Linked DNA regions of Arabidopsis thaliana. The protein of the gene in region 2 interacts with the protein of the main gene of each other region in a pairwise test. Each region holds a gene or a part of one and is shown on either strand. Other genes may lie near its edges. The genes, in order: AT1G73920, LACS8 and BTI2.

Region 1 (11,646 bases), on a different chromosome or scaffold from region 2:
ATTACTTCTCACCCTTCTCCTCCAGTAGCCATCGTATCTGATTTCTTCCTTGGTTGGACCAAAAACCTCGGAATCCCTCGTTTCGATTTCTCTCCCTCCGCTGCTATCACTTGCTGCATACTCAATACTCTCTGGATCGAAATGCCCACCAAGATCAACGAAGATGACGATAACGAGATCCTCCACTTTCCCAAGATCCCGAATTGTCCAAAATACCGTTTTGATCAGATCTCCTCTCTTTACAGAAGTTACGTTCACGGAGATCCAGCTTGGGAGTTCATAAGAGACTCCTTTAGAGATAACGTGGCGAGTTGGGGACTCGTCGTGAACTCGTTCACCGCCATGGAAGGTGTTTATCTCGAACATCTTAAGCGAGAGATGGGCCATGATCGTGTATGGGCTGTAGGCCCAATTATTCCGTTATCTGGGGATAACCGTGGTGGCCCGACTTCTGTTTCTGTTGATCACGTGATGTCGTGGCTTGACGCACGTGAGGATAACCACGTGGTGTACGTGTGCTTTGGAAGTCAAGTAGTTTTGACTAAAGAGCAGACTCTTGCACTCGCCTCTGGGCTTGAGAAAAGCGGCGTCCATTTCATATGGGCCGTAAAGGAGCCCGTTGAGAAAGACTCAACACGTGGCAACATCCTGGACGGTTTCGACGATCGCGTGGCTGGGAGAGGTCTGGTGATCAGAGGATGGGCTCCACAAGTAGCTGTGCTACGTCACCGAGCCGTTGGCGCGTTTTTAACGCACTGTGGTTGGAACTCTGTGGTGGAGGCGGTTGTCGCCGGCGTTTTGATGCTGACGTGGCCGATGAGAGCTGACCAGTACACTGACGCGTCTCTGGTGGTTGATGAGTTGAAAGTAGGTGTGCGTGCTTGCGAAGGACCTGACACGGTGCCTGACCCGGACGAGTTAGCTCGAGTTTTCGCTGATTCCGTGACCGGAAATCAAACGGAGAGGATCAAAGCCGTGGAGCTGAGGAAAGCAGCGTTGGATGCGATTCAAGAACGTGGGAGCTCAGTGAATGATTTAGATGGATTTATCCAACATGTCGTTAGTTTAGGACTAAACAAATGATTTGATTTAGTCAAACAAAATTCTAATTATGGTTTTTTTTTCCTTAATACAGTATGTTCCTCACGAACTAAAAAAATATGCATGAGTGTATTTTATTAAATTGTTGTAAGATGATAAATAAGTGTTTGTGATTGTGATTCATAAATAAGTGTTTGTGATTTTTGTTAAACAAATCGGGTCAATTTGGTCGGGTCGGGTCATATCGGGTCAAGTTTAATAATACCCGAATGTTTTGTTTTCCTTATCTTCTTCGAATCTGGCTTCGCTTCCCTCTCTCACATATCCACACAACAAAGGAAATGGCTCTCACCGTGAGCAGCGGTGGCGGAGGAGCTAGAATCCGCTGCAACGACCTCACCGATTCTTCTCGTAACCCTTTCTCCACCTTCCGACTCGTAAACTTCCCTAATCCATCAAGAACCGGTCTTCACGTTGTCTCTGCCGCCAAAAAACCTTCCACACAGACCGGTCGTTTCGACAGCAAGAAGCGTCGGACTCTCGTTCCTACAACGACTAAGAACAGCAGGAAGAGGGAAACGAAGGTTTTGACGGCGAGAACCCGCCGTCTCAGATCGTTATCAACGACGAAGATGGAGATAGAACGGTGGTGAATACTCGATTCAGAGGTGATCCGAAAGATGCGCCGAAATTTGCCATTAAGGATCTTCCTGGACTTGAACCAGATCCTTTTGAAGGTGAGAAGTGGGATGGTCTAGGTTTCTTCGTTCAGTACTTGTGGGCTTTCGGAATCCTTTTCGCGGTAAATTTCTGTACTTTTCAGTTGCTTTATAACAATTCTCCAATTTTGAAGTTAAACCAATCAATTCACTATGGTTCAAAATGTTGTAACAGCTAATCTCTGGTGGACTTGCGGCGGGGACGTATAACGAAGGTGCGACGGATTTCAAGGAGACGCCAGTATATAAAGAGGCGATTCAATCTCGTGACCTTCTTGATGAAGCAGAGAGTTCAAACTCTGAAGATGTGTTTGAGTCCAACCCAACAGAAGTGGCTCCTAGTTTGGAATAGTTTCAGTTCAGTGTTTAGAGAAAGAATTTAAAGACTGAAACTTTTTGCTATTGGGGTGTTTTAAAAAGCCATATTCCAAGTTGATCTTGAGCTTGTTGTGTTCATAATGTTATAGATTCAAAGTTAAAAGAAGAGTATTGTTCTTCATTGTTCTGTTTTCCGATTTCATTTCTGAACTGCAAACTTCTTTAGGAATCATTCCAATAATCTCTTCTTTTATAAATGTAAGGTAAAGTTATAAAGTTGATCTTGATTCATTGAGAAAACACAAAACAGAAGAGACCGAGATGGTAGTTAATGCAGAAAGACTCAGATGAGGAGGAGAGCGGCGGGTAAGATCGCTGCGAGTGCAAAGATGGTTAGCTGAATCTCAGACTTGGAGCCAGAGGATTTCAAACCATAACCTAATCCCATAAAACTGGTGGGTCTTGGTGCCATTTGAGCCACTGGAGTAGCTGATAAAGTGAAAAGTAACACTATGTTAACTGTTTCCATGTTTTGGTTTTAGCAGATACTGAAAACTTTGGTAAAAAGTGGTTTACCAGCGACACGAGAGTTGTTCTTTGCACCTTGAGAGATTTGAGAACCAGTTGAGCTTGAAGGTGGTGGAGCAACAGAGGAGGAATCACTAGGCGCCTCTCCTATATACCGAAAACATTCTCGTAAGTTCCAAGAAACCAATTTGATCTCACAGAGGAGAGGACAAAGTAGAAGTGTTGTTTACGTACCAGGGAAGGAGGAGGAGCAAGTGGATGAATTGGCTGGAATGTTGCAAAGCGGAGGCAATTGTAGAGCAAGAGTTTGATTAATTGGAAAAGCAGGGGACAAAGTAGAGGTGTTGTTGAGGAAGAGACAGAGACAGGTTGCTTCTTGGCTATAGATCTGGTTTAAGCTGTCACAACATGGCTGAGCCGGAAGTTGGGCAAAGCCTTGAACGAATGGACCACATGGAGCTAAGGAAAGCAGTCTGGAGGCACATGTAGCTGGTACTTGAGCGAGAACCATTCGGAGAAAGAATGCTGATAAGGAGATTAAAAGAGTGATGAGAAGAGTAGAAGAAGCCATTTTTTTCCTAGGAGACTAAGTTTCTTTCTTCTTTGTTTGTGGGAGAGTAAGGGGATTCTGAGTATTTAAGGTTGGAATCAATTGGTTTGGTGTGTGTGACTATGGACATGAATTGTTATTGCACACATGATGTGTGTTTATTTGTTGCAACACTTGAGTTCTTCATGCTCGTTTCTTATTTGGTGTTTTTGAGTTCATTCGTAAATTGTGCTTCTTGTTGACCACAAGAAAACAAGAATGTTACCGGAATCTCGTTAACAAATTTTTAGAATTTGAAATAGTTAACCAATTGAAATACCAAATTTAGAAAACTTGAGCAACAAAGTCGTTGTAGTATAGTGGTAAGTATTCCCGCCTGTCACGCGGGTGACCCGGGTTCGATCCCCGGCAACGGCGTATTTTTAATTTTTTCATATTTGTTTTTATTTTAGTCCCTTTGTTTTCAGTTTCTTTAGTTTTAGTCCCTCATATTTCAGGTTTGTTTGTTTTAGTCCTTCTCTTCTTTATATTCAACTTCCCAATCCGAGACAAAGTGAAATCACTTAAATAGTTTACTTTCCGGTTCCGTTCTTAAACCTTCCGACGAAGCTCCGGTAGAGAAAACCTCTCTTCACCTCTCCCATTCTCGGCAGCCATGTACGGTGGAGGTAGGTTTTATTTTCGTCCTCTCTAAAATCTCTCTCTGATTGTACAAATTCAGCATTACTTCTTTCCCTTTTCGCTTGAGCTCGTCTCGTAAAGGTGTAAACTTTTCCTTGGTGGGGTTTCTTATATATTGAACAGACGAAGTGTCAGCTATCGTAGTAGACTTAGGTTCTCACACTTGCAAAGCTGGTTACGCCGGAGAAGATGCCCCTAAAGCTGTTTTCCCTTCCGTAAGTCTCATTCTTTACTTCCTCTCTTTTCAATTGGTTAAAGTTAGGTCCTTTTAGTGTAGAGCAAGCAATTCGAGAAATTTAGGTTTTTTGTTGTTGCTGTTGTTGATGTGTTATATAACTTATAAGGTTGTTGGAGCGATAGATGGAAATGGAATGGATATTGATGATGCTGCAAACACCACGGAGGATGCAAAGGAGTCTGATAAAGAAAAAGGCAAAAGGAAGCTTTACACAGGATCTCAAGCTTTGAACTTTCGCCGCGATCAAATGGAGGTCAGTTTTCTTTATTAAACTTCAAAATGGTTAGGGATGAAGATAAATTTTCAGGTCTCTCTATTAGTTGACATTTGTCTGTTCCAGATATTGTCACCTACAAAGGATGGCATTGTAACTGATTGGGATATGGTGGACAATGTATGGGATCATGCTTTTAGGTAATTTGCAGAATCTGTTAGTTTTTGTCTTTAACTGTTTAATCTTTATCTTTTCCATTTATAGTTGATTGATGATTTCATCTGTGTAAATGTTTATTATTCAAGGAATTGTCTAATGATTGATCCCACGGAGCACCCAATGCTACTTGCAGAGCCTCCTCTGAACTCACAGCAGCAGAGAGAAAAGTCTGGTTTCTCTACCTTTTATCGATGCTGAGTTCATCTTGGATTAGGAACAGATTATTCTGGTGGAACATCATCAATGCAGTAATTGAAAGAACGCCTCGAGAAAGACTTGGTAGAAGTAAGGTAGTATACTGGCATCGTTAGGCTCATTCCAGCAAATGTGGTTCTCCAAGTCTGAGTAAGTAACACATTGGATTGCTCTCTAGATCTCGACTCACGTATAAACAGTGTCTTCTCATCGCTAGGGTTTGAGTCTTTTTGTGTACATGACAGGTATGCAGAGCATGGAGCTTCTTACATCCAGAGGAAATGCCCTTAAAAGCTGCTTGAGATCAAGATAACGAGAACCTTTGGAGACAGTCAGAGGGTTTAGGGATTAAGTAATTAGTATCTTTTCATTTATTTAGGCAAATATTAAACACTTTTTTATTATTATTATGAAGCTTTAGAAATAGCTTCGTATAATATAATGTTTCAACGTTAACATACAACAAATGTACTATTTTTCTAAGTGAAAACAACCACAAATGTACTTGTGTGTTTGCCTGTTTGGTAAATCCACCTTCTCCGTTATCCAAAAGTCGAATTTACGTGTCGTAGTTTTTGTCACATTCGTCATTATCCAATAACACATGTCCACGTGTCACCATTTTCTGGTCTCTGGACGGCAAGAATCGCCGACGTGCCCCTATTTAATCGGATTCTCCCATTTTTATTTTATTTTCGTCAGATTCTCTCCAATTTTGTTTTTTCTTTTTAGATTTTTGATTCTCGAATCGCGGCTCCTGTGGGTCTCTGTGTTTTCCTTATTTTGAGTTCGGATTAAATCTCGATCGCGATTTGGTCCAATATCTCCTAGCATCGAGAGATTTCTATTCTGGCTAAATTTTGTGTTTTCTCAGGTGGATAAGAAATTTTCTCTTTGTCGTTTTCCTCGATAATTTTCGGATTACGGCGACGAATCAGATTGTTTTTTGGTTTCAAATTTTCTGATATTTCCAAAAAAACAAAAAAATCTGATTTTTGAGAAAAAAGCAATGCAACGGATCGTGGACAACGCTCTCGCTGTAACCAAAGAGTGAGTCTTTTTTCTTATCGATCATCAGTGGATTCATCTGTGTATGCGCCTATAGTTGTTCTAATGTTTCATAAATGACAAGTAGAGATTTTTAAGTTTTTGATCGTTTGGTGATTATAGTAAGTCTCTTTGTTAATTAGTATTGGTAGATTGTGTTTTTGAGTTTTGTTAGACCATTTTATTCTAGTATCTTCATTCAAAGCTTCGTCTTTTAGAGTTGATGTTGGCTATGAACTTTGAGTCGGTGAAATGACTATTTCTTTTTTTTTGGTTCGTCTTTTTGTTAGATGTTCTTCTTTTCCCTTATGTTGTCTAACAAGCTTAAACTAAATAAGCTTTTTGATTATGTTTTGGCTTTTAGTGCAGATCAGTAAAAACTGTTACATATGAGTCTTTGAATAACATTGCGAGGTGCATAAATGGAGTATCAGCTCTTCTGTTGACCCTTCTCCCAGGGAAGGCTAATATTCTTGAAGGCTTACATGGCTGGGAACTCAGGCCTACGTTTCGTGGACCACGTTTACCACGGTGGATGCATAAGTAATAATTTCTCATGATTCTTCTGTTGTTAGTTTATTTGCAAGCCTTCAAAATATGCTAATTTTACTCTGTTTTTGATGGCAGTGGGGTCTCTTCTTTCAATGAGTTCATTCATGAGCTTTCTGTTGATTCTGATACTTCAAGCTTGGAGTATTCTTCTGGAGAAGATAGTGATGGTCCTTTGCCTCCATCACCATCATCTCAAAGCTCACGCCTCTCTTGGGCTAGCACTTCTGCAAGTTCTGAAAACCACTGGACAGAGTGGATTACGTTCATTCTTTGGTGGTTAATGTTTCCTGTACGGATCTTGCTATGGATACCACAATATATTATAAGTTTATTCTATAAACGAAGTTCAAGAATTCCTGCGAGCCCGAGAAGGCACCAACATTCATCTAGACCTCGTATTAGCAAGACCAACTCAAGCAAAGACCATGATGTTCCCAACCGAACTACTGATAGAAGACGTGGGGTTATTGAGGTTTGTGGATGCACGAACAAATATTCAATGTTACAATCATTTTTGTGATTTTAAACCTTTTGACAAACTCGTCCTACTTAATGTGCTTTATTTTTCAGGATCTTCATCTTGCTATCGAGATCGGCATAGAAGCAATATTTGATTTTTTTCACAAGGCTACGCATCTTCTTCTTTCTCCATCAGAAGCTTTTGCAATATTGTTATCATGGTTCTCATCTTCCAGTCGCAGCCCTAAAGAAAACCATGGTGAGGTTGCTTATGATGAAACTGTGCAGACTGCTACTTTAGGAGATACAGATCCATCCCCCACGGAAAGGCCCGTTGAAAGTCCCACACGTTTATACAACTCTATGAACACTGATACTCGAACGTGTCAAGATGTCATAACAGAGTTGGGGTAAAGGGGCAGATTCGATGTCTCATGCTTCCATTTTTTTTTTCTCTTTCTCAAGTAGTTGATATTTACTTGATTTCTCTCCTACTCTTGGTAGGTATCCTTACGAAGCTATTCGTGTTATTACATCTGACGGATATGTTCTTGTCTTGGAAAGGATACCAAGGTATAACTTTCTTGTTAGATATTAAGCTCGCTTGTGCATGCTTTCCATTCCTGTTACATTGTCTCTTAATGTGATCGTTGACTACTCTTGTCTTTGCAGACGTGATGCAAGGAAAGCTGTTTTTTTGCAGCATGGGGTTTTGGATTCTTCAATGGGGTAAGTTTCATGGTCTAGTTCTTAGATGACTCGTAAACTTTGGAAACTTAGTAAGCTGAAAAGTTGAGGAAGTATTATTTTCTATATCCATGTAGCATAACATTCCTAGGCGTTTCAATGTTCCTGACTCTTTACCCAAAAAAAAATTATTTTCATAATTTGTTCCCTTCAACTTTGCGTGTGTGTTTGATTTGCTCAAGACACAAAAATGGATTTGGGAAAATCTTTTGGTGCGATTAGGAGGGATACTGCTTTCAGTTACTTTAGTTATCTCATCTTCTTTTTTCCCTTTCCTTCTCTCCGATCCTTCTTAAAGATTTAGTTTTGACTTGGAACATCCTATAATCCTCTGATGTTTTGATCTAATATATGTCCTATGAAACATTATTGATTACTCTTTTTCTCTACTGCGTGTTTTTCTTCAGATGGGTATCTAATGGGGTTGTTGGATCTCCGGCTTTTGCTGCGTATGACCAAGGTTCAAGCCTCAAGTTTTTCATTTTCCAATCTTTTATTAATTCACATACGGCAACGATTTATCAGCTTCTTACACTCTTTTCCTTTACAGGCTATGATGTTTTTCTGGGTAACTTTCGGGGTTTAGTTTCAAGAGATCATGTGAACAAGAACATATCCTCAAAAGAGTGAGTTATTGCTTTAAAGTTCACTTCTTACTTAATCTACATGCACTGTCTGGTTTCTTTATGATAGTGGAGTTTCATCATATGTATATATTTGCAAGTTGTACAAATGTTCATTGTTATTGACCAAAATGCAGGTTCTGGCGATACTCCATTAACGAGCACGGTACTGAAGATATCCCAGCGATGATAGAAAAAATTCATGAAATAAAAACTACAGAACTCAAGCTCTGCCAGCCCAATATCGATGAAGAAATCAACCAGGAGGAGCCTTATAAGCTCTGTGCCATCTGTCACAGTCTAGGCGGTGCTGCAATTCTGATGTATGTTATTACTCGAAAAATCAAGGAGAAGCCACACAGACTCTCACGACTAATCCTACTTTCACCTGCTGGGTTTCATGAGGACTCGAACTTAGGTTTCACAATAGTTGAGTACATATTCCTTTTCATTAGTCCAGTTTTGGCTCGCATCGTGCCTGCCTTCTACATACCGACAAGATTCTTCAGAATGCTTCTGAACAAGTTAGCCCGTGACTTTCACAACTATCCTGCTCTTGGTGGATTGGTCCAAACTCTAATGAGTTATGTAGTTGGTGGAGACAGCTCGAATTGGGTCGGAGTCTTAGGATTGCCTCACTACAACATGAACGACATGCCAGCTGTCTCCTTCCGTGTGGCGCAACATCTTGCTCAGATCAAACACACCGGTAAATTCAGGATGTATGATTATGGAAGCAGATCAGCTAACATGGAGGTTTATGGCTCTCCTGAACCGCTTGATCTAGGGGAGTCTTACAAGTTCATCGATGTGCCTGTGGATTTAGTAGCGGGAAGGAACGACAAGGTGATCCGTTCCTCTATGGTGAAGAAACACTACAATGTGATGAGAGATGCCGAGGTCGATGTATCGTTTAATGAGTTTGAGTATGCTCACCTTGATTTCACATTCTCTCACCGTGAAGAGCTTTTGAGATATGTGATGTCGCGGCTTCTGCTTGTGAAACAGACACCAGTTCAACAGAGGCAGACCAGTCAGAAAGGTATGAAGTTGAAGAAGAAGAAAAAGGAGGGTACAGTAGTGTAGTAGCTGAAACCGATCTATGGCCAATGTTCAATGCCTCGTAGAGTTTGGTGTCTTTGTATTGTGATGTTGTGTGTAAGCTTCATGTGTGTGTTCTATGCCAGTATCCTATGGCTTGGCTATAATAGTGTACATATACCGTAAAGATTGATCCCTTGATGAAATGATCTTGTTGTGAGAGATGCTTTTTTCAGCCGTATGGTATATAATAATGTTTCTAGTGGTTTGGTTTCCATGAAAATGATATGATGTCATGAAAGATGCTATGAATCCAGAAAATTCCTCCTTTCCATTGGAAGATCTGAAGAGACCAATTAATCATATAGTTGGCGAATCTTTGCATACTTTGACATAGAACTTCTGTAGGTCATACAGTTTATTCATTTGTCGTAATAATATAAATCATAGTTACAGTTACATGTTTAATGGATCCAAGAAGGATAAATTTATCTGGTTATAGAGTTAAAAATACAGCAGTGATCAGTGATTTCGGTGTTGTGTGATTCTCATGTTTCAAAAGAAAAAACGAGTAAACAATTAGGGAAGATGAAGAATTTTTCTCTTTTTTCTTTGGTACAGTTCAAAGAATGAAACAGAAAAGGGAAGAAAAGAAATCAGAATCCTCATGGACGCCGTAGTGAAGAAGAGCATTCATTGGAGCTCTGATGGATCTTGAAGAAGAGATGCTCTTTGTGGATTTAAAAGCAGAAGTTGCTGCATGTCCTTTGGAAGCACACTGAACACCGCTTGTAGATCCTTCTTCAGTTTCTGAAACGTTCCTTCTGAATCTGCACCTCCTCCTGATTCCAGCGACTGCAAAATATATGTTTTCGATATGTCATAATGGTTCCAAATCTGCTGAAGAGAGAACTAGTTTATGTTTATCATTACGTATTCTACCTAACTATGCAGATATGTACATCGCTAACAAAATAAAATCTATCTTTACATCTCTCAGGCATGTAAGTAATGTTTACATGGGAGTGTCCAAAGAAAAGAATCTAGCACAGAAGTAACATGAACATGAAATTAAGAGTCTAAAGGAAGGTAAACTTACCTTGACTTCCTCACTAATGTGTTTCTCAATGGCATTGAAGGAATCCACAGCTTCCAATTCATTCATCTGAGACGTAATCTGCCTCATATCAGTCTTCATTCTAGCTAGCCTCCATAATCTACGCTGTTCTTGTTCAGCAACAGCTCGCCGTCTTTGGAACCAAGGCGAAAAGTTGGGTCCTCGTAGAAACCGCCTGAAATATAATGAACTGTTTAGCAAGGGAACTAAATATTGGTAGCCCAGAATGAGACAATATTGTTTATACCTATACAAGTCGGGCCAGTTAGATTTCATCCGTTTAGACAAAAACTTCCCTACACCTCTCCCAGATAAATTTGAAAGGAATTCATCAGCACCAAATGATGGGAGCGCAGGAGGGGTAACATATGGGGAAGACCCATCTGAAGGAGCATTGACCTGGAAATATGGACCAAAAGGGGCCAAGAAATTTGTAGTTAATTCCAGGAAATGGCGTCGCAGAATCTCATTATTCACAACTGACATCGACTCCTCAACCCTTGGCGACATCCCAGCATCAATAAGTCTATTCAAAATCGAAGTGTCTGGCTTGGTTACTGCAGAGTAGGTGGTCCAGACAGCTTCCTTGTGTTCTGTCATGAGACACAGAGGTCCATCTCGCCTAAGTTTTACAGCATTGAGCAAATTTGTAGGAGAGAACCTTCTTAATGAAAGCTGTTGGACGCCTAATCCTTCAGGTTTAACAGATAATTTACCAGCCGACCTACTTGTAAAGGCTACACGGTTTGAGTTTGGAGCAGGGGTTCCAACTGAGACAACATGAGGGATGTTACGAAGAGCTTTAAGGAAAAAGATATTGGTGACACCCAAAACCATTGGCGGGAAAGTGTCTCCTTCTCGGAGTGAGTTTAGTCGAGCGAATCCTGGATCATGTATAGTGAAATATGGTCTAAAGTCGACACTACAAAATAGCGGCGCAACCAAACTCACAAGACAAGCAACTGCCTCAGAACATTGCGGAGGTGTTGGTGCTATGATAAGGATGGGCTCGCCTATGAGTAACAATTCCCATAATGTCCATAGCTGCAACAATAGTCCCCGGTAAATGCCAAAAAGATCTGCGTCATGGAAAAGACCTTGAGGAACAGACTGATTTGTAGGGAGTAATGGAGCCATGGAAGAAGCAGATTCCTCATATAAAATCCCATTTTCCAAGGGAAGGCTATGAGCAGGCGGCAAGTTCACCTTAAGCATTGCATTACCAATAGGCAGCTCCATTAGCTTACCAGGCACAGGAGCAGGCCACATAGAGACATAACCAGCAATATGTTCAATAGCCTTATTTCCAACATCAAAATACAAAGGACCAATGATTTGCAACAAAGGCCTAAACACA
Region 2 (10,882 bases):
CTGTATTTCCAAAAAGTATTCCCCGTAATTACCAGTATTACACAAATCCTACTGTTCATATTTCACTCAATTGTAAATAGTACTGCCACATTATTACTCTGTATTTCCTACAAGTATTCCCCGTAATTACCAGTATAACACAGATACTCCTATTTTACTATATAGTATTTCTCAAAGTTACTAGTACTAACTACTGATAAATCACAATTGTAGTATTACTCTAAGGTATTACCCACATCCGCCAATATTACCTAAATATCAACATAGCATTTCCCAATGTTACTAGTACTGTCCACAGTTCACAATTGCATTATTACCCAATTAGATCGGTATTACGAAATGGAATACTTACCACATTTGCGATGTCCTCGTCTATGGTCCTCTCCTCCACGGGTTTTTCCACTATCACGTCCTCGTCTCTCTCGTCCTCGTCTCCCTCATCCTCCACGGACTTTTCCACATTGACGTCCTCGTCGCTCGCGGAGCTCCTCTCCTCCTCCTCCTCGATAACGGCTAGGCCGTCATCTTGTCTCTCCGCCTCTTCCACGGGATTAGCACACGCGAGTTCTTTGTTTGTCTCCGTCTCCTCTGAATCGGAATCGGAGCCCAAGGTTTGGCTACTACTCCCTGATTATTCTTCTTCACTTCCTTCTTCTTTTTCATTTTCATCTTCCACCTCATCAGTTTGCATATTCTCTTGAGTTTCTTCAGCCGGAATATGCTTCAGAGCATCATAAAACGTAGAATCATCAAGCATCGGGCTCTCCGTCGTTGGAGCCGTCGTTGGAGCCGTTGTCGTTAGAGCCGCTGTCGTTGGAGCCGCATTGGTTGCCATCGCCGTCGCAATCGTTTGTGCCGTCGCAGTCGTCTTCGCCGGCGCCTGAACCTTCGCTTTCTTCGCCGGCGCCTGAACCTTCTCTTTCTTCGCCGGCGCCTGAACCTTCGCTTTCTTCGCCGGCACCTTCTCCTTCACTTTCTCCGCCGGCGCCTTAACTTTCTCTGTCTTCGTCGGCGCCGGCGCTTCTATCTCCTTTCTTTTCCCTTGACCTCCTCCACGCGTCTTAGGCGGCATGACTGATTTCGAATCGGAAATAGAACGGAAATACTGGTGAAAGCAAGAAGAACGCTCGATTGAATTTAAAGAAATAGGGAATGTTGTGGTTAATTTCAGCGGTTACTAAGGAGAAGAAGTCAAAAAATCGAAAACGGTTGTAATGAGAACAAGAAACAATTTCGAATTGGAAAATCCCTGGAAATATTAAGGTTTTTTTTATTTGATTTTCAAATAAAGAGTAAAAGTGGTTCGGGTGGTTTGGTTCGGAAACGAACCATGATTTTTCTGGTAATTAATAGGTTCGGATAAGGATATACTAGTAATATCCATCTATTTCGAATTAAGAAAAAATAAATAAATTATTTCTGTTTTTTACAATGATTTTTTGGCTTCCTCTTTGCAAAAAGGACTGCCAGACGATTTTTCGATTTTGGAAGACCGTGGAGATCAAAACAGTCTCTTTTGTCTACTCAGTCCCCTCTTGATCTGGTACGTTTACATCTGCAATCTCCTCATCTCTTTAACCCATTTTCATCTCTTCCCTTAGAGTTTCAATCATCGAACAAAATTATTCTGATTTGGTCATTGATTTGCTTAAAGAATGATCTTTCTAGTTCAAAGCCAAGTTTTTTCAGTACCCATCTCGATATCTCTTTGTCCCTTGTTGCAAAAATGTCGAATCTTTCATATGTCTCATGTTGAGTAAAAGCTGCATACAAAGTGTTCGTAAAAATGCCGCAACGAAAGTTACTTGACATTCCAGATCAGATTATTATTTTTACATATAGTATGCCTATAGAATTATTTCTTGAAAATTTGGGCATGTCAATAAATTCTTGTTGCATAGCGCATTAGCAGATTCTAAGTATAGCACAGTAAGTAAGTTGCAATTTGGTTTGCATATCGATTTAGTTTTAGTATGGTCAGCTTCTTATTAGGATTATCAAGGAACTTAGGACTTGCGGTCTATGTGGTGAAGCTTCTGTGATGATCTCTGAAGTGTTTTTGTTGAGGACATTATGAGAGAGAGAGGTATAGTCTCCACCATGTCCAGGATAGGTGTGTTCTTGTAATAGGGCTTCTGGTAAAAGAAAAAGAGAGACTTTTCCACATGAGCTTAAATCTGTCGCATTTTACTTTCTGTGATTGAACTTTATATGCAAAACTGTCCATTAAAAGTTAATTTCTGCTTGATGCTTGTGTTGGAGTAGGGCTTATGGTTCCAGTTTGGCTAAACTGTGTTTTTCTTTATCTTTGGCATAGAAAGAAGATCCCTGTTTCTGGTTATGATGTCTCGACAGAGTCAGTTATTTACATTGCTTAGGAGAAGGTTTCATTCACCGTCTAATGATGCCCCAACGGAGACCTTAAGAAAGAAGATAGCCGATTTGCAAAAGAGTAAGAAGCGAAGGAACCCAATAAAGAACCAGTTTCTAGTTGAGGTTCCAGAATCAAGATCATATTTAGACACAGCAACGATGCCTATGTTCCTCGCTGTTGTAGGTATCGCATTATTTGCAAAGGTGCTAATGATGGTAAGCCTTCCTCTGTCATCTCTTTGAATGCGTCTTTCTTGTCAGTGACTTTAGCAGCTGTTAAGTAGAAGTTGTTTCGTAATTGAGCTGTTAGATTGCTTTATACTTTTTTGTGCAATTGAATTAGGAAGGATCTGTGGAAATTGCTGATTCTCAGTATTGGTTTGTTGTTAGATCGATGATTCGAAATCGCAAGAAATGATTGAACGCAAGATAAAGAATGCACCACAGGGGCAAGGCACGGTACGAATGATCGATCGTGAGGAGTGGGATGAGTTTAGAGAAGTAAGGCCAAGAACACCTTTTGAGTCAAAGCTTGCTCGCCCAAATGCACAAATAAGAACTGGAGAACCTGTGCGCAAGGTAAACCGCTCTATTAAATCACCAATCCTTGCAGTATCTTACCAAATCATATCGTCACTCGATGACCAAACCTTTTGCTTGTTTCCTTTTTAATCAGGATGACTTGAAAAACTGGACAATAGACGTGCTAACAAATGCTCTTGAACGAACCGAAGAAAGTGTTCGCCGTGGTTCCAGTTAGATTTTCTTTCCTCAATTCAATTGGAGCTTCCTAGTTAATAGACATATATATATCTTGAGAATTTGGTACTCAAGAACACTCTCGGTCATCTCCTAAGCGAACATAGGCATCATTTAGGACAGTTGAGAGAAGGAACAGAAGCTGTCTTGTAACGGAGAAATCTTTGAAATGGAGATATGAATATTCTTACTTTGTTTTGGAACTGCTTTGTGTATTCATATGTGTTTGACTCACACATTTCATCAAAATGCTTATAAAGGGTTTGATTGATAACTCGGACTCGGTTATGGGTGTAACGTTTTAATATTTAAAATCGCAAAATTGGAACCGCTTTTTTAAACTGAGTGAAATATAGCGTTTTGAAAAAAGACGTTTCTGGTGGCTTCTGAATTGAAAAATCAGCGTTTTTACTTTTCACAATATTCAATTGGAGAATCTTTAGAACTTCAACGAAGTAGCGTCTCCGGAATTTCAGGTAAACGTGGCAAGAAAAAGCCAAACGGAGAAGCATCCACGTGTCCCTCCATTAGCCATCTCCCACGTGTCCATTACCGTACCGACGAAACATTCCTTAACCAAAGGCTTCCCGAAAAAGGACAGAGTCCACAAGCTTCGGATTGTTCACAACTTCAAAGCATCGAAAAGGTTTAAACTTTACGTTTTTCTCTGGAACCCGATTCGAAGAAATCATCAAGAAGTTTCCTTTCACTGATTTCTCAATCTATTCGTAGGTAACCCAATTCCAAAAAACGTTTCTTTTTTCTCGATGCCTTAGCTTCTTTGGATTCTGTTGTGATCTACCGATTTTGAATTTGCTTGATCGATCATCGGATCACTGTGATTAGTGTTATTGTTCCTTTCCTTTGTGTAGCTTTCGCGCTTATGGAAGATTCTGGAGTGAATCCAATGGATTCACCATCTAAAGGCAGTGACTTTGGAGTCTATGGAATCATAGGAGGTGGAATCGTGGCTTTACTTGTGCCTGTGTTACTCTCTGTGGTGTTGAATGGAACCAAAAAGGGGAAAAAGAGAGGTGTTCCCATCAAAGTAGGTGGCGAGGAAGGTTACACAATGCGTCATGCTCGAGCTCCTGAATTGGTTGATGTACCTTGGGAAGGAGCTGCTACTATGCCTGCTTTGTTTGAGCAGTCTTGTAAGAAGTATTCGAAAGATCGGTTACTAGGAACTAGAGAGTTTATAGATAAGGAATTTATTACTGCTAGTGATGGGAGGAAGTTTGAGAAGCTTCATTTAGGAGAGTATAAATGGCAAAGTTATGGAGAGGTTTTTGAACGTGTTTGTAACTTTGCGTCGGGGTTAGTTAATGTAGGACATAATGTTGATGATCGTGTTGCTATCTTTTCGGATACTCGTGCTGAGTGGTTTATCGCGTTTCAGGTTTGTTTATCAACTATTGTTTTGTTGGTTTGGCTTGAATTTGTCTGATGAAATGGTTGGTGTTGTAAATTTCCAGGGATGTTTCAGGCAGAGCATAACCGTTGTTACTATTTATGCTTCTTTAGGAGAAGAGGCTTTGATTTACTCACTCAATGAGGTTGGTAGGGGAAGTTTTGAATGTGTATGTTTTTTATTAGTAAATTTGGTTGTTGGATCTCTGAATCTTGCTTGTGTATTGTTGACAGACTCGAGTGTCAACCTTAATATGTGACTCAAAACAACTTAAGAAGTTGTCTGCGATACAATCAAGCTTGAAAACTGTGAAGAACATTATTTACATTGAAGAAGATGGAGTAGATGTTGCTTCTAGTGATGTCAATAGTATGGGTGATATAACTGTTTCGTCGATCTCTGAAGTTGAGAAACTTGGGCAGAAGAACGCTGTTCAACCGATCTTACCTTCGAAGAATGGAGTTGCTGTTATAATGTTTACCAGTGGTAGTACTGGTCTACCAAAGGTATGTGTTGCACTGTGTCTTCTCTTTTCTTTATGTGTTTTGTTCACCTGAATTCTTGATTGGTGTACCTTACATTGTGTGCATTCACTCAGGGAGTTATGATTACCCACGGAAATCTTGTCGCAACTGCTGCAGGAGTTATGAAGGTGGTTCCAAAGTTGGATAAAAATGATACATATATTGCGTACTTACCTTTGGCTCATGTGTTTGAGCTGGAAGCTGAGGTATGTTGCTGTACTCTCTCTCCCTCTCTATGTCTCTCTCATTTTAACTGCTAACTTATTTTCTTACTGTTTCTTGCCAAATCATGGTTTTTCAGATTGTGGTCTTTACCTCAGGTAGTGCCATCGGTTACGGCTCAGCAATGACTTTAACTGACACTTCAAATAAAGTTAAGAAAGGAACCAAAGGAGATGTTTCAGCTCTGAAGCCAACTATAATGACTGCAGTTCCAGCTATTCTGGATCGTGTCCGAGAAGGAGTTCTTAAAAAGGTACCATCTTAGAGACGACAATGTTGTGTGTATTGTTGGAGTTACTTACTAGATACTTCAATTTGTGTATGTAATAATCTAGGTTGAGGAAAAGGGAGGGATGGCGAAGACCCTTTTTGACTTTGCATACAAGCGCCGGTTAGCAGCTGTGGATGGAAGTTGGTTTGGTGCCTGGGGTTTGGAGAAAATGTTATGGGATGCTCTTGTCTTCAAGAAAATACGCGCTGTGCTTGGAGGACACATCCGTTTTATGCTCGTTGGAGGAGCTCCTCTGTCTCCTGATTCGCAACGCTTCATCAATATCTGCATGGGGTAATGTAGTCTCACATCTGATATTTTCATATGAGTCTTGTCCCATTTTGGCTTAGACAAACACCATTTTGGTGCCTGGTTTGTGTTTATCTGTATTCTTCTTTGCAAATTCACAATGCTTGGGATTAGTTTGTTCTGATTATGATTGTGCATTATTTTCTGTTAGGTCTCCCATCGGCCAAGGATATGGATTGACTGAAACGTGTGCTGGAGCTACGTTTTCTGAGTGGGACGATCCTGCTGTTGGTCGTGTTGGACCTCCACTTCCATGCGGCTACGTTAAGGTTTGCAGACAATCTTTAACACACCATGTTGACAATGTGCAAGTTTATTGTAATCATGAGTAACAAATTTCATCTTGCAGCTCGTTTCTTGGGAAGAAGGTGGCTACAGAATTTCAGATAAACCAATGCCTAGAGGGGAGATTGTGGTAGGTGGTAACAGTGTAACAGCAGGTTACTTCAACAATCAAGAAAAAACCGATGAGGTTTACAAGGTAAAGCACATTCAGGGAGCTTAGTTGATCCGCTTGCTATATAGATTTCTGAGAATCCATGTGACGATTTCAGGTCGATGAGAAGGGCACAAGGTGGTTTTACACCGGAGATATTGGGAGATTCCACCCTGATGGATGTCTCGAAGTCATCGATAGAAAGAAAGATATTGTTAAACTTCAACATGGGGAATACGTATCCCTTGGAAAGGTTTGCCTATAGAACTTAAATTCTACATAGAGGATGGTGGTATATGATAAAATCTCATCATGCTCTTTCATTGCCTGGATCACACAATTCACAGGTGGAGGCAGCTTTGGGTTCGAGCAATTACGTTGATAACATCATGGTCCACGCAGACCCAATTAACAGCTACTGTGTAGCTCTTGTTGTTCCATCACGAGGAGCATTAGAGAAATGGGCAGAGGAAGCTGGAGTTAAACACAGCGAATTCGCTGAGCTATGCGAGAAAGGTGAAGCAGTCAAGGAGGTTCAACAATCTCTTACCAAGGTTTGTATTTTCAATAGCTGTCTCAGGTTTTTCACAATTACGTTTGGTAAGTATATGTATTACAAAATATTATTATCATTTCAGGCCGGGAAGGCGGCAAAGCTCGAAAAGTTTGAGCTTCCAGCAAAGATCAAGTTGCTGTCAGAGCCGTGGACACCGGAGTCGGGATTGGTCACTGCTGCTCTTAAGATAAAGAGAGAACAAATAAAGTCCAAGTTCAAAGATGAACTCAGCAAGTTATATGCCTAAAAACTTTTCTTGGACTTGTGACAAACTCCATATATTTCAGTCTGACTTTCCACATTTTGTTATATCTACAATAAACTTGAAGTTTTTCTCCTTTTGTTAATTCAATACCTATATGATTCCACTTCCATCAGCTATAGCCTATAGAAGAGAGTAAATCATTGTGGTATACAAGGAGCTGAAGTATTCGAAAAGTAGACGCGGATCGAAAAACTCCTTTAGGTAAAACTTCTCTGCTTTATTAACCATATGAAATCCTCTGAAAACAAAAGGTACAAATGAAATCCTCCTTATGATCCGGAATTAGGTTTTGTATTCTAGAATACGTTTGTGACGTTGGTGGTTTATCATGTTCATAATGTTATCATCAGCATTCATGCATCAGAAATATGATGGTCGGTCCTGTGAAATCTTCCTGGGGCTTCTGGACAATAGTCTTGTCATCGAGCAAAAGAGAAAGTTGATGTTGCTATTGATTTGGGTCAGATGATGCAGTATCTTTGGGAGCTATCGTCTCTGACACTGCTGGTCGTAGGAGTAGATACAAAGAAGGTCCCAAGAATGGAATCACCGATACCGGTAACAGCCAACTGCCTTTATCAAACCTGATAAAGAAGCAGTGCGTTTAGAGAAACAGAAAAAGGTTTGAGTGAGTAAACACCGCAAACTAGTTGTACATAGAACTCACCATTTTCGGGTGGTCATGTCGTTGTAAACCCAAAACGGAGCAAATGCAGAGAGTAAACAGAAATCAAGACTTGTAACATGAATCTGCATTTTAGTTTAGGTCAAATATGAGGACAGATACGAAAACATTTCCAGGGAAATGAGGCTTACAAATTTGCTCTCTCGAAAGTACTGATAAAACTCCGTCCAATCACCGGCATTACCGACAACTGAATAAAGAATTATACCCAGTCCTGCAACTAGAGTGACCTGATTCATAATCCAACAACAACCAAAGACCAAAAGGCAAGAGACAATTTTCTTTAACTTGTAAGTCCAGTGATAACAAATCAAGATTTCAAAAGAGTGAGAGTGAGAGAGATAATCTCTTACCCCAGCAGTTACTTTTGATTCCAGAACATTCAAAGGCCATTGTCTCAGCTCAGTCTCTGAAACAGGAGGAGAAGGAGGATTCCACAGTGCAAAATAAGGTAACAAAGCATAAACACCACCGAAAAAGGAAAGCACAACGAAAGGCCAAGCCGGTGTTTTACTGTCCAACAAAGAGCTCTATTAGTTAGTGTTTGAAGTTCCTAAAAGAGCTTCACTTGAACAAACTATGGATGGTACCTTGTACCAGTGGGAAGCAAGAGCATGGCATAAACCAAAGGCCACAAACCCATGATGTACCATAACCCAACAAGGATCTGATTCATTCTAAAACCATCATCACCTTTCAAATTCAAAAGCTTTTTCAAAAAGTACAAGTCTTGTGTCTGCAATACAAAAACCTAAGATTATATTATGATTGCAAAATCGTAACTTTATGAAGTATTTGAAGATTGCGTACGGGTGTTTGATCAGGAGCGAGATTGAAGCAATAGTACAAGAGCGCACCCCAAAGCGCAAAAAGCAAAATTGAGCTAGACCAGTCTCTTCCTTCATCTTGAATTTGAGTCTTCTCTGGTTCTTCTGGGTTGTTTGAAGAGCTTTTGCAGATATGGAAGAATGTGACTTTCTTCTCGTATTTCGGGAAAAGGGCAATTCTATGTGGTGAAGAAGAAGCTCGTGATTGAAGAAGAAGAAGGAGGCTTGAGGATTGTGTTAGGGTTTGAGGTCGAGTGGAGGGTTTAAGAAGACGTGGAAGGCGAGAGAAGTTGCAGGAGATGAGGCTTATGCTTCCCAACATTTTTTCTTCTTCTCTTCCTCCAATCTAGTTGACCTTGGTTGGAATTGAACGCATTTATTGGTTCGGTTCGGATCGGATACCGATTTTTCGGGTTTGAAAGTATAGAAACCGATTCGGATATTTTGAGATTTTGGTTTCGGATTCGGATCGGATGCTCGGATTCGGACATTATGCCCAGCTTATAGATTAGTAAAAAAATAATTATCTTAAAGATAGTAATATGAATAATATTTTGGTTGGTAGATTAAGTTATTTTCCATGATTTTTTTTAAAACTTGAAAACATATTACATGGCAACATAACATATCCTGTAGCATATTAATAATAGGATAAGTCAGACCATTATTGAAATGTTGATATTATAAATCATATTTTGATTATTGTTTTAGCATAATTATGAATAGTTCTTCCATAGTTCTTTCAAATTTGTAAGTTATTTAAATTGATCTAAAAATTATTTAAAAGATCTCAAACTAAAATATTTCATCTACTCAGCAATCAGAAGTGAACATTTTTGAGCATAAGAAATTGATATAATGTAGCAAGTAATATCTGAAGAACCAGTGACTGGTGAGCTCTTAACTTTAAGAGCTTGAGTCTAGTTAGATTTTGAAACAAGGGGCCTCTTCTTTTCCCTTATTATAGTCCACCATTCTATATAACGAAATGAAAAATTGTCAACATATGCGATATGATTAAGATTCAAGCAAGGGAGAAACAAAAATTTGAATGTTTACTTCTTCAAAATAACTACGATGAATAATGAGCTCTTTACAATATCGACTTAATGCACTAAGAAGATTTTTTGTTGAAACTTAATTGAAAGTGTGTCTTGAAATTTGTTAAAGTTTTGTCGTATCGTAAAAGAACCAGATCTTGCACTCTTGACCTTTAAAAAGCTGAGAATTGGTGCATCAATTAAGTTTGTCGTCAACTTTCATTGTTATCAGCTACAAACATGGAACTTTGAGAAAAATTTCAATAGTTTTCATACTTTGCGACACCACAACCACTTTACTCTCCTCAATCTCCTCTACACTTTGCACCTTGGAAGATAACATTTTGAACTCGGATTTTGTAAGATTCAAGCTTGGGAGTTGCTTCCATAAGTCTGTCCATTGCGGTGTTACTTTACTATTTTGAATGTATTTACAAGTTGTTAGTCTCGTAAGAATCTTTGACGTGAAATGATTTTACGGTAAATCTTGAACACAAGTCAATACATCTACAAAAGAAAAATATATTAGCAATACACGACCTAAGATATGTAAAATTTATTTATTCCAAATTCACAAATAGAGTTAAAGTAAATAAGCTTTGTATTTCACTAAATCGAGAAATTATTCGGTAAAATTAAGATACTATACATAACAAGTAGATAAGTAATTTGGTAAAATTATATAGATGTAGTAATTATTTTTTTTAAAATAATATTTTAAAACTATTTTAGCATTATGTAATTTTTGTTTTTAAACTTGAAATGATTAAGTAAAACTAAAAAGGTAGGAAAATGAGTCTTTTAGTTTCAACTCTAAATTTGAAAAAAAAACATTAAAAAGTAAGGAAACAAATATGATAACTATCTTAAAAATATGAGTCATTCTACAAAACTCTCATCATTTTAAAAACTCCAGGTTCTTGGAATTTATCTCTCACGTACAAGAGCTATCTCTAGCAAAATAAAAAATCACGTACAAGAGCTATCTCTCTCAGTTTCCAATCCACAAGTTCAAGTGCCGACCCTGAGAAATTTGGGATCTTAGCAAATTTTTATTTAGGGTTTTCTAGACAAATTTCAAACAATCAAGACAAAATTTTAAACATTAAGAAAGTTGGAGGCCTATTTTTTGTTATTTTTTATTTTATTTTTTAAAACAAAAAGGGGCCCTAAGCCCATTAGGGCCGGACACGGAGCGGATTTC
Region 3 (9,529 bases), on a different chromosome or scaffold from region 2:
GTCTCTTTCTATGAGAGAGAGAGTAGAAGGGTTCTTTGTTAAGTTTGACCTTAGTAAGTGATGACGTTGAGCTCTCTTACCTTTCAAGTTCTCTGATAGGGACATTTGACTGAGTCAAAACCAATGAGCTTAAAGTTATGTGCTATGCAAGTTTGTTTTTGTATGGAATTAATATAATAAAAGGTTGACGAAGACAAAAATGTAGAGGTCCACATATAGAGCTTGAACAAATATTGTTATCAAAAATAATCTCTAGTGGTGTAGTGGCGTTTAAGTGTATGATTAAGAATTTAGATAATCTTACTGTGATTAGTAACAAATATTGTTTGAGAGACTGCCCACTTGCTTGAGACTGAGACAAGATAGGTAGTAGAACTCTGTCAACATTCTAATATGTTGTCTTTGTTATGGATTTGAAATGATGCAGTTAAAGGACCTAGAGATACTGCTACTAGAGAAGGACATATCTCATAGTTACAGCCTACCGTTCAGCCAGACGAGCCGAGCCTTAAGCCAGAACCTAAAGGATAGAAGATGGAGAATGAGCAGAAACTTGCTTTACTCTTTGCAAGATAATTGGAAGAGGATTTGGGTTTTGACATTGTGGTTTGTGATCATGGCCTGGTTATTTATGTGGAAATGCTATCAGTACAAACACAAAGACGCATTCCATGTAATGGGTTACTGCCTTGTCATGGCAAAAGGCGCAGCTGAGACACTGAAATTCAACATGGCTCTTATTCTTTTGCCGGTCTGTAGAAATACCATCACCTATCTCAGATCCACCGCTTTGTCCCACTCAGTGCCTTTCGATGACTGCATTAATTTTCACAAGGTTAATCATAAACCATTTTTTGTCTTGCCTTTCATAAGAAAGATACTATGCTTCAGCTGAATCCGACTTTCCGGTTTTTGCTTAAACGCAGACGATCTCTGTAGCAATCATTAGTGCAATGCTTCTTCATGCAACCAGCCACCTCGCCTGTGACTTCCCAAGGATTCTAGCATCTACTGATACAGATTACAAAAGATACTTGGTTAAGTACTTTGGTGTGACCAGACCCACATACTTTGGTTTGGTGAATACTCCTGTGGGAATCACTGGAATTATAATGGTTGCTTTTATGTTAATTGCATTCACATTAGCCAGTAGAAGATGCAGGCGGAACTTAACTAAGTTGCCGAAGCCATTTGACAAACTAACCGGATATAATGCCTTCTGGTATTCACATCACTTACTTCTAACTGTTTACGTCCTTTTAGTCATCCACGGTGTTTCCCTCTATCTCGAGCATAAATGGTACCGCAAAACGGTACATTCCATAAACTCTTTACCATTTTACTTTTTGCATGCTTACATAATTGGCTGTGGTAACAATAACATATACTGCATCCTACAGGTATGGATGTATCTTGCTGTACCAGTTTTACTCTATGTTGGTGAGAGGATCTTTAGATTTTTCCGTTCCAGGCTTTACACAGTCGAAATCTGTAAGGTAAAATCTCACTTACAGTTACATTTTGAACTGAATTACATGAAAAGACACATTGTCAATCATCTACTATTATCTCTATACCAACTCAAATGATTTGGTTTCAGGTTGTAATTTATCCCGGAAACGTTGTTGTGCTACGCATGTCTAAGCCTACATCATTTGATTACAAGAGTGGACAATATGTATTTGTTCAGTGTCCATCAGTATCAAAATTTGAGTGGTGAGTGTTTTATAGGGAACCAAAACAAGCCTAATAGCTTTCCTTGCAATCCTAGAACATATACAAACTCTGTTCTTTGACACCACAAAGACTAACTTAAAGATTCTCGGTCCTAAACTCCATCTCCAGGCATCCATTTTCTATTACTTCTTCCCCTGGAGATGATTATCTCAGCATTCACATTCGTCAGCGCGGTGATTGGACAGAAGGGATTAAGAAGGCATTCTCAGTGGTATGTCATGCCCCTGAAGCTGGAAAAAGCGGACTTCTCAGAGCAGATGTACCAAACCAAAGAAGGTGCATAAAATTCTTTAAAATTCAATATATTATTCTCAGAATGTGAATTTTGATACTCTCTCTTGTAATATAGTTTTCCAGAGCTGTTGATAGATGGACCTTATGGCGCTCCAGCGCAAGACCATTGGAAGTATGATGTGGTATTACTGGTTGGCCTTGGAATCGGCGCAACACCTTTCGTTAGCATTTTGAGAGATCTACTCAATAACATTATTAAGCAACAGGAACAAGCTGTGAGTATAACAAGCTTAAAAACCTTGTTGATGAGTAACAGAATCTCAACTAAACTTTTTTGGAGTTATGTTATATTCTCAGGAATGCATCTCAGGTAGTTGTAGTAACAGCAACATCTCGTCGGATCACAGTTTCAGTTGCTTAAACTCAGAAGCTGCGAGTCGGATTCCGCAAACTCAACGGAAGACGCTGAATACCAAGAATGCTTACTTTTACTGGGTAACACGAGAACAAGGCTCGTTCGATTGGTTCAAAGAAATCATGAACGAGATTGCTGATTCAGATAGAAAGGTAAAAACAATACACTTATTCATTTTAAATTCAAAAGATTGTATGATTTCAAGTTACTCACTGACGTATTTGTCTTGTGAACAACTACAAGGGTGTTATTGAGATGCACAACTACTTGACTAGCGTCTACGAAGAAGGAGATACTCGATCCAATCTTCTCACTATGATCCAAACGTTAAACCATGCCAAAAATGGCGTCGACATTTTTTCAGGAACCAAGGTAATGATCTTTAATGATTAGTTGATTACTTTATCACAAACAACACTCTTTTCTGATCTTGTATAACAACTTTTGGTTATTTTAGGTAAGGACACATTTTGGGAGGCCAAAATGGAAGAAAGTTTTATCAAAGATTAGCACCAAACATAGGAACGCAAGAATTGGTAACACACAGAAACATCAGTTCACTGAAATGATATTCGATATCGCGGTGTATATTTGCCTTGTCTGAAGAATGTTTTTTTGTTTGTTACAGGAGTGTTCTATTGTGGAGTTCCAAGTTTGGGGAAGGAACTTTCAACACTCTGCCATGAATTTAACCAGACGGGAATTACCAGGTTCGATTTCCACAAAGAACAGTTCTAACTGGTAAAAGGATTAATCCCCCACGATTATGGTTTTTTGAATGAATGAATCAATGTTCATGTTCGTTCTCGTATCCTACTTGTTGTGTTTTCTTTTCGTTTTGTGTATCACAAATACCAACTTTTAACCATTTCATCTAGAGTAGGACTGTTAAAAAATGTAAAAAGTCACAGTTAAAGCTTGTGAAGAAAAAAAGAGTGTAAAGGAGTAAAAATGAGAAATTCAAACAAAGGGGGATGATGGGATCATTGGGATGATTGGTTCTGTCTGTTCAATTGTTTTCAAATTTGAGCACTTATTATTGGGCCTGTCTTTGAGCTCTCTTATTATTATGGGCCGATAACTAGTTTGGCCCATTTGGTTATCAACTTGAAAATGAATGAAGAAAGCTGGGGAAAAGGGTCTTTTTAAACCCGAACTGACTCAAAAGCCTCAAAAATTTCACTGTTCCTTGGTTCTTGACCGGTTTAGAATCATGGTTTCGGTTTTGAATCATATTTGCTTTCTTGGACATGAGAAAGTAACTGGGCTTCATCATTGTTTTAGCTCATTGGGCCCATATTACGACTCGAGCTAACGCTGTCAAGTTAAATGCTTTTTCACTTTCTAGAGCATTCTTTTTTAAACACTTCTTTTAACCAAGAGACGGTTCCTACTTCTCTAATATTTTTATTTTCTAGTTTTTTGGCCAGCAGCAAAATATTATTTTAATTTAGTGTCAAGATAATTAAATTATCATTGTCTTTTGAATGCAGACCGAAAGTACATGAGTCACATAAGCAAGCGGCTACGATTCAACCACGTGTCACATGACCACCGGTTCGACCGTTTCTTTGTCCAGCCGCGTGACACCTGAACCAGAAAAGTTTAATAGCCATTTTAATAACAGAGCCGTTAATTACACGTGACTTAAAAAGCCGTTATCCTTAACAGCGTTAACATCTCGGTCCTGTGAAAACACTTTTTATATGTCCCCACGACATTTATCTTTTCCTAAGCATCGCTCTAGTTAAGGAAGCAGCAGGTTTGGATCCGAACCAACCAACGGATCAGATCAGAAACAAAATATTCAACGGCTCAGATTTATTCTAATTTTCCTCCTTTTATTGTTGGTTTTTTCATTCGACTTCGAGATCTTTCTTCTCAGAGGTGTAACGAAAACGCTAGAACAATAACTTTGATCGTTCTTCTTCTTCTCTTGAATCGGAAACAATGGCGGATGAACATAAGCATGAAGAATCTTCACCTAATTTGGATCCAGCAGTGGAGGTTGTAGAGAGGGAATCGTTGATGGAGAAGTTATCGGAGAAGATCCATCACAAAGGTGATTCGTCGTCTTCATCATCATCAGATGACGAAAACGAGAAGAAGTCTTCGTCATCGTCTCCAAAGTCTTTGAAATCGAAGGTTTATCGTTTGTTCGGAAGAGAGAGACCTGTTCATAAGGTTCTCGGCGGCGGAAAACGTATGTTTACTCTGATCCCGTTTCGATATTTGTTCTCAGTTTTTTAAAACGAATTCGTTTGCGTTGGCTTGATCTGTTTGATTTTCTCACTAGTTTAAGGGATCCGTGAAGAAGATCGTTTGAATCTACATAGAGGTTTACATTGATTTGAATTCGATTTCGATTTTGATTTCTGACTAGTTTGAGAGAATTTGTGATGGAATTGATTTTTTTTTTTTTGGAAATGTGTATAATGATCTTGTGAGATTCTTGTAGTTATTGATGATATGGTTCTTATTTCGTGATTGATAAACCCTAATTTGGTGATCTTTTTAATTGCAGCGGCAGATATATTTATGTGGAAGGACAAGAAAATGTCAGGAGGTGTATTTGGCGGTGCTACAGTGGCATGGGTGCTATTTGAATTGATGGAGTATCATCTTCTTACTCTGTTATGTCACGTTATGATCGTTGCTCTTGCTGTGTTGTTTCTATGGTCTAATGCCACTATGTTCATTCACAAGTAAGTTTTGTGGTCAATCATATGAAACAGGTCAAGGTTGTCAAGCTTATTTGACTCATCTTCGTTACCAAATTTTCATTCTCTTTCAGGTCTCCACCAAAGATTCCTGAAGTTCATATCCCTGAAGAACCTCTTCTTCAGCTTGCTTCGGGTCTTAGAATCGAAATCAACCGTGGGATCTCTTCTCTTCGTGAGATTGCGTCGGGGAGGGATATCAAGAAGTTCCTCTCTGTATGTTTAAACTGTCCTGGACTTACTCGTTACTCCTCTCTCGATGTCTCACTTAAGTTTGACACTTATTGTACTGTTTGATTGAATTAGGCTATTGCCGGATTGTGGGTTCTATCGATCTTGGGCGGCTGCTATAGTTTCTTGACATTGGCATACATAGGTAACACTTACTGTTGCTAAAAGTATTTTGCTTCTGCCTTCTCTCTTATTCTGACATTGCTGATGAACGGTTATTGATTTGGTCCAGCTCTGGTTCTGCTCTTCACTGTTCCTCTTTTCTACGACAAGTACGAAGACAAAGTAGACTCATACGGTGAGAAAGCAATGGCTGAGTTGAAGAAGCAATACGCTGTGTTGGACGCAAAGGTATTCAGCAAAATCCCAAGAGGACCGTTGAAAGACAAGAAGAAGGATTAGTTTTTTTTGGGGTTTTTGTTTTGTGTGGGTTTTCTTTGGAGTGCAATGTGCACAATGCTCTGGTTTTTATACACGTGGGTTGTGTTGTGTTGTGAATTGGTAATCTAAAAGGTTATGTGTTAGATCTCAACCCAAATTTTACTTGACAACTTTGCTTTGTTTTTGGAGTGGTTTGTGGCATTAGCACAATGATTGTAGTCGTTCTCTTGATCTATATTTTTAATGTACTGATTGATTTCTGTGTTTCTAATATGGTACGTTACTCAAATATCGTTTTTTCTCGATTATATATTTGTAGTATGTCTTGATATCAAACAAGTCAGGATGGCCGAGTGGTCTAAGGCGCCAGACTCAAGTTCTGGTCCTCGTAAGAGGGCGTGGGTTCAAACCCCACTTCTGACAATTTAGATTTTTATTTTCTCTGAGCTCATTTTTTAAGTGTTTGTTACTTTATTTGTCCAAAAAATAAAAATATAACATGTTTGTATATTTACTGGTTATATATATGTAATAAGTATGAATATTAACAAATGTCAGTATGGCCGAGTGGTCTAAGGCGCCAGACTTAAGTTCTGGTCCTCTTACGAGGGCGTGGGTTCAAACCCCACTGCTGACAATTTATATTTTTGTTAATTTTAAATTATAATTACCTTCTTTTTTCTTTCCTTTATACTATGTTTTCTCATTTAACCATGTTTTTGTTTTTTCTTAAACGGTCTTATGTTTCTCAGGTAACAATCAGCTAAATAAGTAACTAGTTAAAAGTTAAAACGCTTAAGATCAATTTGTATCAAATGGTGAATCCTGAAACATAATAATATAATGGGTTCCACTTCTTATCTTTCAACAAAATAATTGTGACAACAGGATCATTTCACAAACTTGTCATAATTGTTTTGGTTCAACACATGTTCTCATTAATGGTTTTTCTTTTTTTTTTTCTTAAACAAAAGAATGGCCATATCATATGTTCCCGGAATCAGATAACTATTATTATTGCATAAATGAACCATCTATGAATTATATAATTTAGTCTATAAAAATCATTTTGATTTGTATAACTATTACTGAGATAATGAGATTTACTGATGCTTAAACATTTGTGAATAGAAAATAAGTAACTTTAGCTTGGCCTTATTCTTTTCACAGTCGCATGGACTGCAACACAAAATTAAAAGCCAAAGACTCATTAAATTAGGATTGATGACCCATCAACTTTCCCTACTTCATAAAAAAAGCTTGGAGGGCTATCACTGTTATTTGCGGTGTCTCCGATATTATTAGACTTGAGTAAGAACGACAAAAGATGAAAGAAAAGAAGAACATAAGATTAAGGAGAAGTAAAAGCTTCTTCTTCTTTTTTTTGTCTCCACTTGTTGTCACTGCGACTTTGCGCCAAACAAACAACGCTTCTTTTTTTGGTTACCTAACTTTCTTTTCTGGCTATGTTGTTGTTAGGTTTAGGTAAATTAAATCGTGAATCAAAATTAAATTACGCAAACACAAGTCACCAACACCAACACACATGACAATAATTAAAACATGCACAAATATAAAAGTTTATTCGTTAAATTTAACAATACCAAAAAGAATGAGCTAAAAATCTATTATATTTAATTTGCTTTTTGTTTCTTAATTTTTATATATGGCAATCATCACATTCATGAATTAAATTCCATAAACAAACACAATCAAATTGATAAACAACAACATGAATGACAAAAAGAAAAACAAAAACCTAGATAGTAGAGAAGGAGCCGATATAAGACCTTGGTAGGTTCGAAGAGGATCGAGCCCATCCGCCGTTCCATGACTTGCCGGTTCAACCCCACCGCTTTAACCGGAACGGTTTAAGAAATCATCATAATCAAGGCCGGTTAAATGAGTGCAGGGAGTGAACATTGTTGTATTTCTAAGCTATATGGTGAAACCCTTTGGTGCACCTAGAAGCTTCCATGGAAGCTCAGCGCAAGCTCCCCAAATTTGGATTCAACCTTATAGAGCTAATGAGTTTGATTCATATTTAGGGAGATATTGATGAAGCTTCCATGGCTAAAAATGGGGAGAGAGGGAGTTTGTCTTTCTACTTCTTGACTTTATATATAGCATTGTTTTTTTTCTTAATTATTTTGATGGTGGAAGAGAAAGAATCTGACACTAAAATATATTTACTTCAATGCCATTCGTTAATAAAGAAATTTACATAAAATAACTAAAGGATCTTTTTTTTATAACTTTTAAGGTCTTCTTGGTTATAACATTAGTTGATTAAGACAATAACATTAGTTGATCTTTGACTCTAATAACGGATCTTCGTTGATATATTAATATATCATTGTCTAATACTCTAATACATACGGTAAAAATTCTGAATTCATGAATAAATCATATTAAAAGTTTTCTGATCAAGAATTCTGAATCTCAAATCCATATCAGAACTTAAGCATGTTTTCTTTGTCACCTTCTTTTGGCAACTCGACTTATAGTACCCCTGAATAGATTGCCACCAATTATGCTCCACGCACTCTACATTCGACTGCTCCGGTTACAATCATTGGAGGGTAATACACAAATAATATTAAAACACTTTTGATTTACTAAATGAATATTTACAATTACTGATCTAGAGTGCAAGACCAATCAAAGGTCTAGAGTGCGTGCGAGGGACCCCAAGTCCACGACCAATCTCTTTAATTTTGCTGCCGCTTTGTCTATTTTCAATTGGCCATTCCTCTTTTTAATTAATTTTATATTCAAAAAATTGAATATTTCCACGAAATCCTTACTCTATGTCCACCAACCAAGTCACACATGATTTATAGAGAACATGTAAAAAGCATAAAGTAATGTTACTATTAGTTATTTTACAAAAACAAAAAGTTAGTTATTTTTTAATTTAATGTTAAATTATATTTAAAAATATATCATATTACATATCTAAAAATAGGGGGTTTTACGGACCAATCCAAATTGATAACGAATTTAAACGTATTTTGTATGTAAATTGGCGGATCAGTCCACGGATTACAAAAATTTAATAAAAATAAATAAATAATATATATAAAGCTTTTTGCTGATGGTCCTAGCAGACTGGCCATCGCAGTCTATTAGAAACTAATACTATTGCGGACCAATGCGTTTGACACCTCTAGACATATGTATATGGACCAAAATATGTTTTACTGTAAGAAAGCATAAGACCATGAGCCGATTCCTCTTTTATATTTTAGTCCACAAAATCATATCATGTTCATTGGCAAGGAGAATGTCCATCCAATATCCTATTTTTGAAAAATGTTTCCCATTTTATGAAACTAAATGACAAGGTTTTCTTGTAAGTCTACTAAAAACATTGAAATGGGGTTTCTCCCTCGTCTTGTGTTTTAGCGGCGCCGGCATTTAAGCAGCATCCTCGCGATTTTTGTGTGACGTAAAAGCTGATTTCTTAATTTTTTTTTTATTTTGAGTTTTGTATACGTCGTTTGTGCGATTTTTGTTTGCTCTATTTCTGTATTACGTCTTTAGTTTATGTTCGGTTTCGTTTGAATTTTTTTGTGTGGTTTTTTCTTTCGTTGTTATTTTCGTGGACTATGTTCTTTAGGTTTCCCTTATGTTTATCAATTGATTATTTGTTTATTTGTGATAGAAACATCGCAAGTCATTTTTATTTAACCACTACAAAAAAAAATGATTATGTACTAACCTGATGAAATCAAATTATCATTTTTATTTATAGCTTGTCTTTAAATGTTCATAAGCTACATTATTATTCTTATGGGAATTTATATAT

Evidence for each region.
Region 1: the proteins of LACS8 (region 2) and AT1G73920 interact in a two-hybrid assay, tested with the Arabidopsis thaliana proteins (one large-scale study listed by BioGRID).
Region 3: the proteins of LACS8 (region 2) and BTI2 interact in a two-hybrid assay, tested with the Arabidopsis thaliana proteins (one large-scale study listed by BioGRID).

What each region holds. Positions count from the first base shown.
Region 1 is NC_003070.9:27,785,482-27,797,127, forward strand, and holds AT1G73920 (alpha/beta-Hydrolases superfamily protein), read left to right. Parts: upstream 1-5,255; 5' UTR 5,256-5,712; coding exon 5,713-5,753; intron 5,754-6,114; exon of another isoform or gene 6,115-6,119; coding exon 6,120-6,293; intron 6,294-6,377; coding exon 6,378-6,774; intron 6,775-6,872; coding exon 6,873-7,171; intron 7,172-7,265; coding exon 7,266-7,334; intron 7,335-7,433; coding exon 7,434-7,490; intron 7,491-7,915; coding exon 7,916-7,968; intron 7,969-8,058; coding exon 8,059-8,134; intron 8,135-8,268; coding exon 8,269-9,217; 3' UTR 9,218-9,447; downstream 9,448-11,646. Other genes in the region: UGT89B1 (UDP-glucosyl transferase 89B1), read left to right, coding at 1-1,083; AT1G73885 (AT-rich interactive domain protein), read left to right, coding at 1,383-1,506, 1,602-1,843, 1,936-2,101, 2,181-2,227; AT1G73890 (Bifunctional inhibitor/lipid-transfer protein/seed storage 2S albumin superfamily protein), read right to left, coding at 2,422-2,567, 2,655-2,753, 2,841-3,177; ARP4A (actin-related proteins 4A), read left to right, coding at 3,812-3,824, 3,961-4,052, 4,182-4,328, 4,416-4,489, 4,642-4,819; AT1G73930 (polarity axis stabilization protein), read right to left, coding at 9,866-10,027, 10,272-10,464, 10,537-11,646.
Region 2 is NC_003071.7:1,512,071-1,522,952, forward strand, and holds LACS8 (AMP-dependent synthetase and ligase family protein), read left to right. Parts: upstream 1-3,563; 5' UTR 3,564-3,864; intron 3,865-4,004; 5' UTR 4,005-4,015; coding exon 4,016-4,531; intron 4,532-4,607; coding exon 4,608-4,688; intron 4,689-4,776; coding exon 4,777-5,049; intron 5,050-5,141; coding exon 5,142-5,273; intron 5,274-5,368; coding exon 5,369-5,542; intron 5,543-5,624; coding exon 5,625-5,854; intron 5,855-6,020; coding exon 6,021-6,138; intron 6,139-6,218; coding exon 6,219-6,350; intron 6,351-6,423; coding exon 6,424-6,558; intron 6,559-6,652; coding exon 6,653-6,859; intron 6,860-6,943; coding exon 6,944-7,108; 3' UTR 7,109-7,238; downstream 7,239-10,882. Other genes in the region: AT2G04340 (cytoplasmic dynein 2 light intermediate chain), read left to right, coding at 2,341-2,589, 2,764-2,952, 3,050-3,133; AT2G04360 (uncharacterized protein), read right to left, coding at 7,575-7,710, 7,794-7,876, 7,943-8,324, 8,402-8,547, 8,622-8,960. UniProt on the Arabidopsis thaliana protein: Activation of long-chain fatty acids for both synthesis of cellular lipids, and degradation via beta-oxidation. Preferentially uses palmitate, palmitoleate, oleate and linoleate.
Region 3 is NC_003075.7:6,834,386-6,843,914, reverse strand, and holds BTI2 (VIRB2-interacting protein 2), read left to right. Parts: upstream 1-3,878; 5' UTR 3,879-4,336; coding exon 4,337-4,589; intron 4,590-4,910; coding exon 4,911-5,091; intron 5,092-5,180; coding exon 5,181-5,322; intron 5,323-5,412; coding exon 5,413-5,482; intron 5,483-5,569; coding exon 5,570-5,739; 3' UTR 5,740-6,004; downstream 6,005-9,529. Other genes in the region: AT4G11230 (Riboflavin synthase-like superfamily protein), read left to right, coding at 428-835, 927-1,313, 1,401-1,496, 1,601-1,716, 1,846-2,013, 2,087-2,246, 2,329-2,538, 2,630-2,758 and 2 more; AT4G11211 (uncharacterized protein), read right to left, coding at 7,576-7,641.